Linked DNA regions of Canis lupus familiaris. The protein of the gene in region 1 interacts with the protein of each later gene in a biochemical or structural test. Links are inferred from orthologs where the notes say so. Each region holds a gene or a part of one and is shown in the gene's direction. Other genes may lie near its edges. The genes, in order: CABIN1 and MEF2D.

Region 1 (4,589 bases):
CCAACTTTTCCTGTGCTCTTTCCTTCTGCCAACATGGTGTTCTGCTTCCCAGAGGGGCTCAGGGAATGTTCCTGGGTTGAATCTGAATGAATGGTTAAAGTGCCCAAGGAGGGATTCAGGCCTAACTCTAGCCAGGACCATAAGGTAGTAGCCTCCTGCCTTGGTCCCACTTTGAATGTTTTTCCCCTACTGTAGTGAGAATGAGGTCATTTGGTTGCTGTGGACGATTATCCCCTCCCTGTCTCCACATTATCCTCACTGTGGCCCTGAACTTTGGCCCCTGGTAATACTGTGCTGCCAGAGTGATCCTACACTGCCTGTACTGTTTCTCACCTCCAAAAGCTTGCCACACAGCTCCTTGCTACGTGGGCCGCTCTTGCCATCTTTTTTCACCTGTTTCACTCCAGAGCATATTTCAAGATACGACTCAGGTGTGAGAGCTGCATCCAGGGGTGCTTGTTATCTATTAAACTTGAAACCACCTGTTTCTGCCTGGGTCCACTGCCCTCCCCCCCAAGGCTGTACTCTCCATGTCAAGATTAGTGACTCCATTATTTTTTGCAACTCCTGGTGCACAACTGAAGCTTATTGTTCTGAACTGACGCTATGAGTTCATGATTTTATCGCTTTTACATAAGGTCAAAGAGAAAGCCATAACATTCATTCCTATTTAATTTTTTTTTTTTTTTTTTTGCTGGACTCCAGCAACTATGAATCCCAACCACTCTTGAAACCTTTCCCTGAAAAACCTCTGAGCTTCCAAGGGTTTAACCTCTTTCAGCCCAAGGCCGTTTTCGGGAAACTTTCAATGCTGAATCCTCTTTTCAGCTTTGGAATTCTGTTACTCCCTCCACCCCCCCCCCCCCCCCCCCCCGTTCATTTACCCGTCTTTTTTGTGTGTGTGTGTGTGACTTTTATCTTTGTCTCTTTAAGATTTTATTTATTAATGAGACACACACACACAGAGAAAGGACAGACACAGGCAGAGGGAGAAGCAGACCCCATGCAGGGAGCCCGACGTGGGACTCGATCCGGGGTCTCCAGGGTCACACCCTGGGCTGAAGGCGGCGCTAAACCCCGAGCCACCCGGGCTGCCCTTTATCTTGGTCTCAATGGCTGATTGTATCCGTACCTTTCGGGCTTCAAATCGTTTTCAGAACGAGGCGAGGCTCGGGATATATAAGGGGGAACGCCCCTCCTCCCCCGGTTCCCGCTAAGCGTCCCCAAGTGTCCCCTGCCTTCCGAGCACCTGCCCCAGGTTGTAGCAAACCGTCCTTTAGCGGCTGCTCAGGGCCAGGCGCCGAGCTCCGCGTTTCCCAGGTGTTACAAGCGGCGGAGCAGGGAAGCCCGACCCACGTCGTCGGGGCGCGCCCGCAGCAAGCAGCCGGAGGGGGACACTCGCGCGCCCGCCGCTCGCAGCCCGCGAGGGCCAGGGGAGCTCGCTCGCCCGGCGGCGCGTGCGCCCTCGCTGATTGGCCAGCGGAGCCGGCACCGGAGCCAATGGGAGCGCGCCTTATTGTCAGGCGCGCAGCCGGCCGGCGCGGGGGTCGAGGCGGGCAGGCCGTTGCCTTGGAGACGCCCGGTGAGTTCCCGGGTGGCGGGCTCGGGGGCCTCCCCCGGGAGGGGGCGCGGCTCTGCTGAACGGGGGGCGGGAGAAGGGGCGCGGGCCTGGGGGGCAGCGGGCGCCGGGCCGAGGCCGGTGTGGACGCGGGAGCGGGGGGGCAGAGGGGCGCCCCCGGTAGCCTGAGTGTCCCATTCGGGGAAACCGAGGCCGGAGGGCGGTAGCGGCTTGGCCGGGCCTCCTCCCCGCCCTGGCCGTCACCCTGGGGTGCCGAGGCCGGGCTCCAGCGTCGGGAGCGGTTCTCGGCTACGGCAGCGGGAGCCACCATTGACGGCGCGTCTGCCCGGCGCTGAGCCCGGGGCTCGCCCCTTGGCTTGCGTCCTTTGACTTCACCTTCACAGCAGCCCCGAGAGGTGAGTGCTGCTGCTGCCCGTAGCGCCGTGTACACGGCTGGAAACGGAGGCCCTCGCGCGGTGAAGGGTCTTGTCCAGAGTCAGCCGACCAACTAGTGGACCAGCCCAAGTCTAGACTGAAAGAAAAACATAAATGTTAAAGATTTTATTTTTGAGTAATCGCTGCACCCCCTGTGGGGCTTGAACCTATCACCAGGAGGTCAAGAGTTGCATGCCCTAAGGACTCAGCCCGCCAGGCGCCCCTAGACTGAAAATCTTGACTGCGCTGCTTCCTAGGAGGAGGAGGAGGAGGACCCCAGCTACACACAGCCTACTGACACACTCAGGTGTCCGCACAAGTGACTTCGGAGTCACTTAATTCTTTGGGGCCTGGCTTACTATGGGTTTATGGGGCTTAACTATGGGACTTGGGGTTTCACGCAGCTAAAATTCGTTGCATGGGATTCATAACTGTGGTTACAACGAAAAAATCTGGGACGCCTGAGTGGCTCAGCGCTGGAACATCTGCCTTCTCAGCTCAGGTTGTGAACCCGGGTCCTGGGATCGAGTCCCGCATGGGGCTCCCTGCGTGGAGCCTGCTTCTTCCTTTGCCTACGTCCTCTGCCTCTCTCTCTCTCTCTGTGTGTCTCTCATGAATAAAATAAAATTTTAAGAAAAAAACAAAAACGAAAAACCTGAAACATGCTTTGAGTGGTCTCCTTCAGAGGTCGGCAGACTTATGTTGTAAGTGCAGTAATATTTGTAATATTAATAGAATTATATATCAGAGTATGCTGTGAATGTAATAAACATTTATAATAGTATTTTAGGCTTAGGAGGCCTACTTTGTCTACTCCGTTCTGGCATCGTACAGTGGATACAGGCAGAGACAATAGGTAAACGAGTGGCAGTGTTCCAATACAATTTTATTTATGGACACTAAAATTTGAATCTTATGTAATTTTTATATGATTTTCGTGTGTCACAAATTTTTTCATCCATTTAAAAATGTCAGAACCATTCTTTGCTCCAAGGCAGGTTAGCTTGCAGACCCCTAGTCTAGCCCAAAACCTCATCGGGTAGAGGAAACTGAGAATCAAAGAGGGGTCTCTTAGGCCAAGCTGATGACACAGCCAAGAAGAGCCACAGCATAGCCTAAGATCTAGGCTTCCTGACTCCCAGACCAGAGCATGTCAGGAAATGCCACCTTTTATCACTGACTGGGTCAGGGTGCTGAGTTACTCAGTGTGTGCTCTTCTTTACCATATGTTCTTAAGGCTGTGGAAACCATGGCCTAACGAGTTTGGAAATTTGTGAGGTTAAATTCCTAAATATGCTATTCTGGGATAATATGATTGCTGGGCTGGGAGTCTGAGAAAAGAATAGATATTTTCTTTCTTCCTTTCTTTATTCAATAGTTCTTGCTCCTTAGTCTCCTTAGTCCTTTTTTATTTTTTTTTAACGATTTTCTTTCTTTATTCGTGAGAGACACAGAGAGAGACACAAAAGACTTCTGCAGAAGGAGAAGCAGGGGGCAGCCCTGGTGGCGCAGGGGTTTGGCGCCGCCCGCAGCCTGAGGTGTGATCCTGGAAACCCGGGATCAAGTCCCACATCGGGCTCACCGCACAGAGCCTGCTTCTCCCTCTCCCTCTGCCTGTGTCTCTGCCTCTCTCTCTGTGTCTATGAATAAATAAGTAAAATCTTAAAAAAAGGAGAAGCAGGCTCCCTGTGGGGAGTCCGATGCGGGACTCGATTCCAGGACCCTGGGATCATGGCCTGAGCTGAAGGCAGCCGCTCAACCACTGAGTCATTAAGGCATTGCATCCCAGTCCCTTAGTCCTTAATGATTACTTAGTGTTGTCTTAGTCTTGATATTTTTCAAGAGTACTCGTCAGTAATCAGATATCAGTCTAATATCCCTCAACTTGGATTTGTCTAATGTTTTCTCATGATTCATGTGAAGTTATGCGTTTTGGGCCACAATAACACAAACATTGTGTTGTCCTTAGTGCATTATACCAAGGAGTTCAAGATGCTGATGTGTCTTATAACTGGTGATATTTATCTTGATTGCTTGGTTTAGTGTCTGCCAACTGAAAAGTTCCTATAGAGTTACTAACTTTCCCTGTCCAGTTAGTAGGTATCTTGGGTGAAATACTTTGGAAGGATGGGAATTCTGGTTTTCACAAATTTATGCCCACTGACCATAGTTAGGATCCATTTGTGGGTCCCTGTGGTGTGTGCCTAAAGGTAATGATCTATTACTCTCTTCCCTTCTACATTTATTAATTCAAATTCAATTAAAGGGAGAGCTATCCCTTCTCTCATTAGTATGGGCCCCAGGGGTATTCATTTTATTCCATTGGTTAAAATCTAATAAAAAAAAGTCTAATGTTACCATCATTTTGTTGTACACCGTTCTGACTTTGCTTGTTCAGGATCTCCTTCAGGTTAGCTGCTGTGCCTTCTCAACAAATCTTCAGAATTTTGGGGAGCATTTATTTATTTTCTGGCACCTCCAGATGTTACAGGCTCATATTGTGTTCTCTCTGCCCCAAATCTTGAATCGCAGTTCTTATCTTTAGCCTTACAATATCCAATCAAGATACTATTCTCCACAGTTACTTAAATTAGTT
Region 2 (3,803 bases), on another chromosome or scaffold:
ATCCCTGCACATTCCTGTCCTCATGCCTGCTGCCATCCTCAGGTGGCAGTGCCCCTGGGGGCCAGTCTCCTCGTCTGGAAAAGTTGTGGGTGTGCAGAAGGTCTCTGAGGCTCCCTGAGGGTAGCACAGACTACTTTTCAGGAGCCATTATTTTGTTATTTGTTTGTTTTTTTTTTTTTTAAAGATTTTATTTATTCACAAGAGACACAGAGACAGAGGCAGAGGGAGAAGCAGGCTCCCTGTGGGGAGCTCAATGTGGGACTCAATCCCAGGACCCCAGGATCACGACCTGAACCAAAGGCAGATGCTCAACCACTGAGCTACCCTAGTGTCCCAGGAGCCATTGTTTTTGGGAATCCCTAAACGTGGTGGTAGTTTCCTGCCATTTTCTCCGGGCCTCGCAGGCTCTTGAAGCTGGAGGGGAGGTTAGCGCATGTCCGTGAAGCCCAAATAGGTGCCTGGCAAGACCAGACTTTAGACTATTTGTCAATCTGGTGTGAAAGCAGATTCTGACCCTGGGCCTGCCCTTAGGGCCCTGCTGGGAAGTATGGGCTTCCTCACATCCTTCCAGAAGCCAGGGGCTCTGGTTCCTCTTGCTGCTGGAGCCCAGCAGCCGCCTCTGTTTTGACAGTGGGTGTTTTCAGGTGAAAACATACCCTCCATATGTAAACAAAACCCCAGTGAACACGCTGCTCATCGTCCTTGGCCCCTGCTCAAGTTCTGGCTGAGGGCGATCTGGCTCTGATGACGTCCCTGGTAAGGGACAGGCCTGGCCCCTTGTTGACACTGGCTGCAGAGGTCTGGCCTGGTTGCTGCCGGGAGGCCTGTGGGAGAGCAGTGGAGCCCCCGTCACCCTGTCATGGGCAAGGTTGTGCAGTCTCCCAGGGTGGGTGTCCTCCTTGTCTATAAAATGAGTATGGGAAGTAGTGGAGCCTTGGGGCTCCTTTATGTCCTTGCTCTACTTTTTAAGTGTGAGCATCTCAAAGCTGCTGGCTAACAGTGTTATAAGACCAGAGGCGAGCAGTCACCATCTCCAGGTGGGAGCATAGGTCAGCAAGGAGCAGGGGTCTTGCCTCAGCTGGGAGCCAAGGCTCCCCACACATAAGCTGCAGTTGCCTCGTTTGTGAATGAGTAACAGCAGCAGGCCAGTCTTCGGAATGCCTCCTGTGTGCCAGACAGTGTTGTGCGCACTTACAACGGCTGCAGGGCCCATAGGTAGAGAGCAGGTCACTTGCCTCAGATCGTGGGGCCTCAGGGAGGCAATCAGGACTCCTGACCGCCTCACTCTTGCCCTTCACCTTCTTGTTCTGCTGCTCAGTGGTGCTGTCTTCCTGCATAAAGATGGGGCCATGGCCCGTGACCCCTTGAGTAAGAGCATGGTGGTGTGGCAGGGGTACCACGTGGAGTATGCCTGTGTGCCCCCACAGTGCCACCACCCTGGGCTTCTTGGGGGGATCTTTACTAAACTGTCCCAGACAGGCAGCAGCAGGGAACACTTCACGCCGTGTCAGCCATGCAAACATCAGGTTCTTCAGACAGAAATGGTAGAAAGTGAGGAGCACCCCCTGACGAGGAATGTGTCAGAAGCCTGGCCGAGTGTGCTGAGGGCAGGTTCCCCTCGCCACCCCTTTACCCCTCAGGGCCCCAGGGCCAGAGGTGTGTCCTCTGGGTTGATGTGCGCACAATGGCTCAAACCCTTGCCACTCCTCCTCTTACGTGTTGACAGTCCCAAGATCTGGCCATGGCCGTGAGTGGAAGGGTGGTGACAGTGCGCTTCAATGCGCCAGTCCCCTGGCATCCTCACTACCACTCTGTCTCTGAAGGGTTCCTGAAGACTTGGCAGTTGAAGAAACGACCATTAGACGTATGTTAGACCTTCTGGACTTCTTTCCCCTTCTGTTTTTGAGTTGACATTCTGAGAATGCTACCTATACCTGGAAAAAAGAGTGAACAGTGTTTTAAAAAAACACCCCTCTATCCTGCTGAGAACGGCACCTGCCGCTTCCTTAGCTGCAGTCCCTGCTGGGGGGCCTGCTGAGTGCTTCCCTCCTCTCCCCCCACCCCTGCAGATTACCAGCTGAGCAGCGCTGAGCTCTCCTCCCTCCCAACCTTCAGCTCCCCCGGGGGGCTGTCGCTAGGCGGTGTCACCGCCTGGCCGCAGCCTGCGCAGCAGCCACAGCCGCCCCAGCCCCAGCCGCCCCAGCCTCCCCAGCCGCCGCAGCAGCCACCCCAGCCGCCCCAGCCACCGCAGCAGCAGCAGCAGCAGCCACAGCCACAGCCCCACTTGGTCCCCGTGTCTCTCAGCAGCCTGATGTGAGTCCTGGGGCACTGGGGGGTGGGGGTGGGGAGAGGCAGAGGTGAGGGCAGTAAGAGTAGGCTCCTCGCTCAGCGGGGCTGGGGGCTGGAGTGCTCTGTCACCCACTGGGACCACAGGATATGGGACACTGAGCACAGCCTGGAGATCCCTGCCCCCGGAGCCCCTCCCCAGCCAGCCAGGAGCACCAGGATGCCAGTCACCCGGGACAGAAAGAACTAACGTGGCTTTCTCTTCTTTCCCCTCTTCCGGCACTTGGTCCCTCTCCTGGACTCTCCTCTGTGTGCTTGTCCCTCCCTGCCGCTTCCCCACCCCACCCCCCGTCCCCACACCCCGTCCCCTCTGTGTCCTGTACCTACCCTGCTCCATCCTCGTGCCCAGCCCGGGCAGCCCTCTGCCCCACGTGGGGGCCGCCCTCACGGTCACCACCCATCCCCACATCAGCATCAAATCGGAGCCGGTGTCACCCAGCCGGGAGCGGAGCCCTGCACCGCCCCCGCCAGCCGTGTTCCCGGCCACCCGCCCGGAGCCCGGAGATGGCCTCAGCAGCCCTGCCAGCAGCTCCTATGAGACCGGGGACCGGGACGACGGACGGGGGGACTTCGGGCCCACGCTGGGCCTGCTGCGTCCAGCCCCGGAGCCTGAGGCTGAGGGCCCCGCGGTGAAGAGGATGCGGCTCGACACCTGGGTACTGTAGTGCCACCCCTCCCGCCTGCCAGTGTCTGCTGCACCCCGGGACTGCCCCCACCCCATGCCCCCACCCGGGAGGCCTCCTGGCTGCCTCTGCCCCACCGCAGGCCAGTCTGCCCTTCAGGCACCCTCAGAGCTGGCCTGCCCCCAGGGTCCTGGCCCTGCGGGGAGAGGGAAACAGGGGGCGCCTAGCTGGCGGCCGGGGCCCTGACACCCCGTTCTCCATCTCTCTCCTCTCTCCGCAGACATTAAAGTGACGATTCCCACTCCCCTCCTCTCAGCCTCCCTGACGAAGAGTTGACAATCTCACCGCCCACCCCTCCCCACCCTGGGCTCCTCCCGCTCGACCCCCACTTCCTTTTGTGCTCCATGTCCTGTTGACGGTTACATTTGTGTATAATTATTATTATTATATTATTATTATTATTATATTTTTTTTAATTTGGATTCTGGCTTTGGAGAGGGGGATGTTCCCATCCCTCTTTTTGCACCCCCTACCATTTTACTGGCTGGGGGGGGCTGTTTTTTGCGGGAAGGGGGGGACACTTTGCACGTTGTACACATATGCTGCAGGAGGGGGTGGGGAGCCCTATAGGCCTTTGGGACAGGACAGGTGTCGAGCCCTGCATGCGGAGCCCTCCCACCCCATCCCCCAGATAGAGGGAAATAACCAAAAAACCTACCAAACAACAAAACCCCTTACAATAGACTGAAACCCCAAAGTCGGCTTGATGGGTGGGTTTGTGTTTTGGGGGGAAGTGAGGCACAGCTTCTGAAAAGGATCTCTGCTTCTGGGCTG

The links.
Region 2: the proteins of CABIN1 (region 1) and MEF2D form a complex in vitro, tested with the Homo sapiens proteins (2 studies listed by BioGRID). The link is inferred for Canis lupus familiaris from reciprocal best matches to the Homo sapiens genes CABIN1 and MEF2D.

The regions. Positions count from the first base shown.
Region 1 is NC_049247.1:28,608,730-28,613,318, reverse strand, and holds the start of CABIN1 (calcineurin-binding protein cabin-1), read left to right. Parts: upstream 1-1,502; 5' UTR 1,503-1,582; intron 1,583-1,721; exon of another isoform or gene 1,722-1,974; intron 1,975-4,589. UniProt on the Homo sapiens protein: May be required for replication-independent chromatin assembly. May serve as a negative regulator of T-cell receptor (TCR) signaling via inhibition of calcineurin. Inhibition of activated calcineurin is dependent on both PKC and calcium signals.
Region 2 is NC_049228.1:41,448,781-41,452,583, forward strand, and holds part of MEF2D (myocyte-specific enhancer factor 2D), read left to right. Parts: intron 1-2,069; coding exon 2,070-2,313; intron 2,314-2,695; coding exon 2,696-3,002; intron 3,003-3,249; coding exon 3,250-3,261; 3' UTR 3,262-3,803. UniProt on the Homo sapiens protein: Transcriptional activator which binds specifically to the MEF2 element, 5'-YTA[AT](4)TAR-3', found in numerous muscle-specific, growth factor- and stress-induced genes.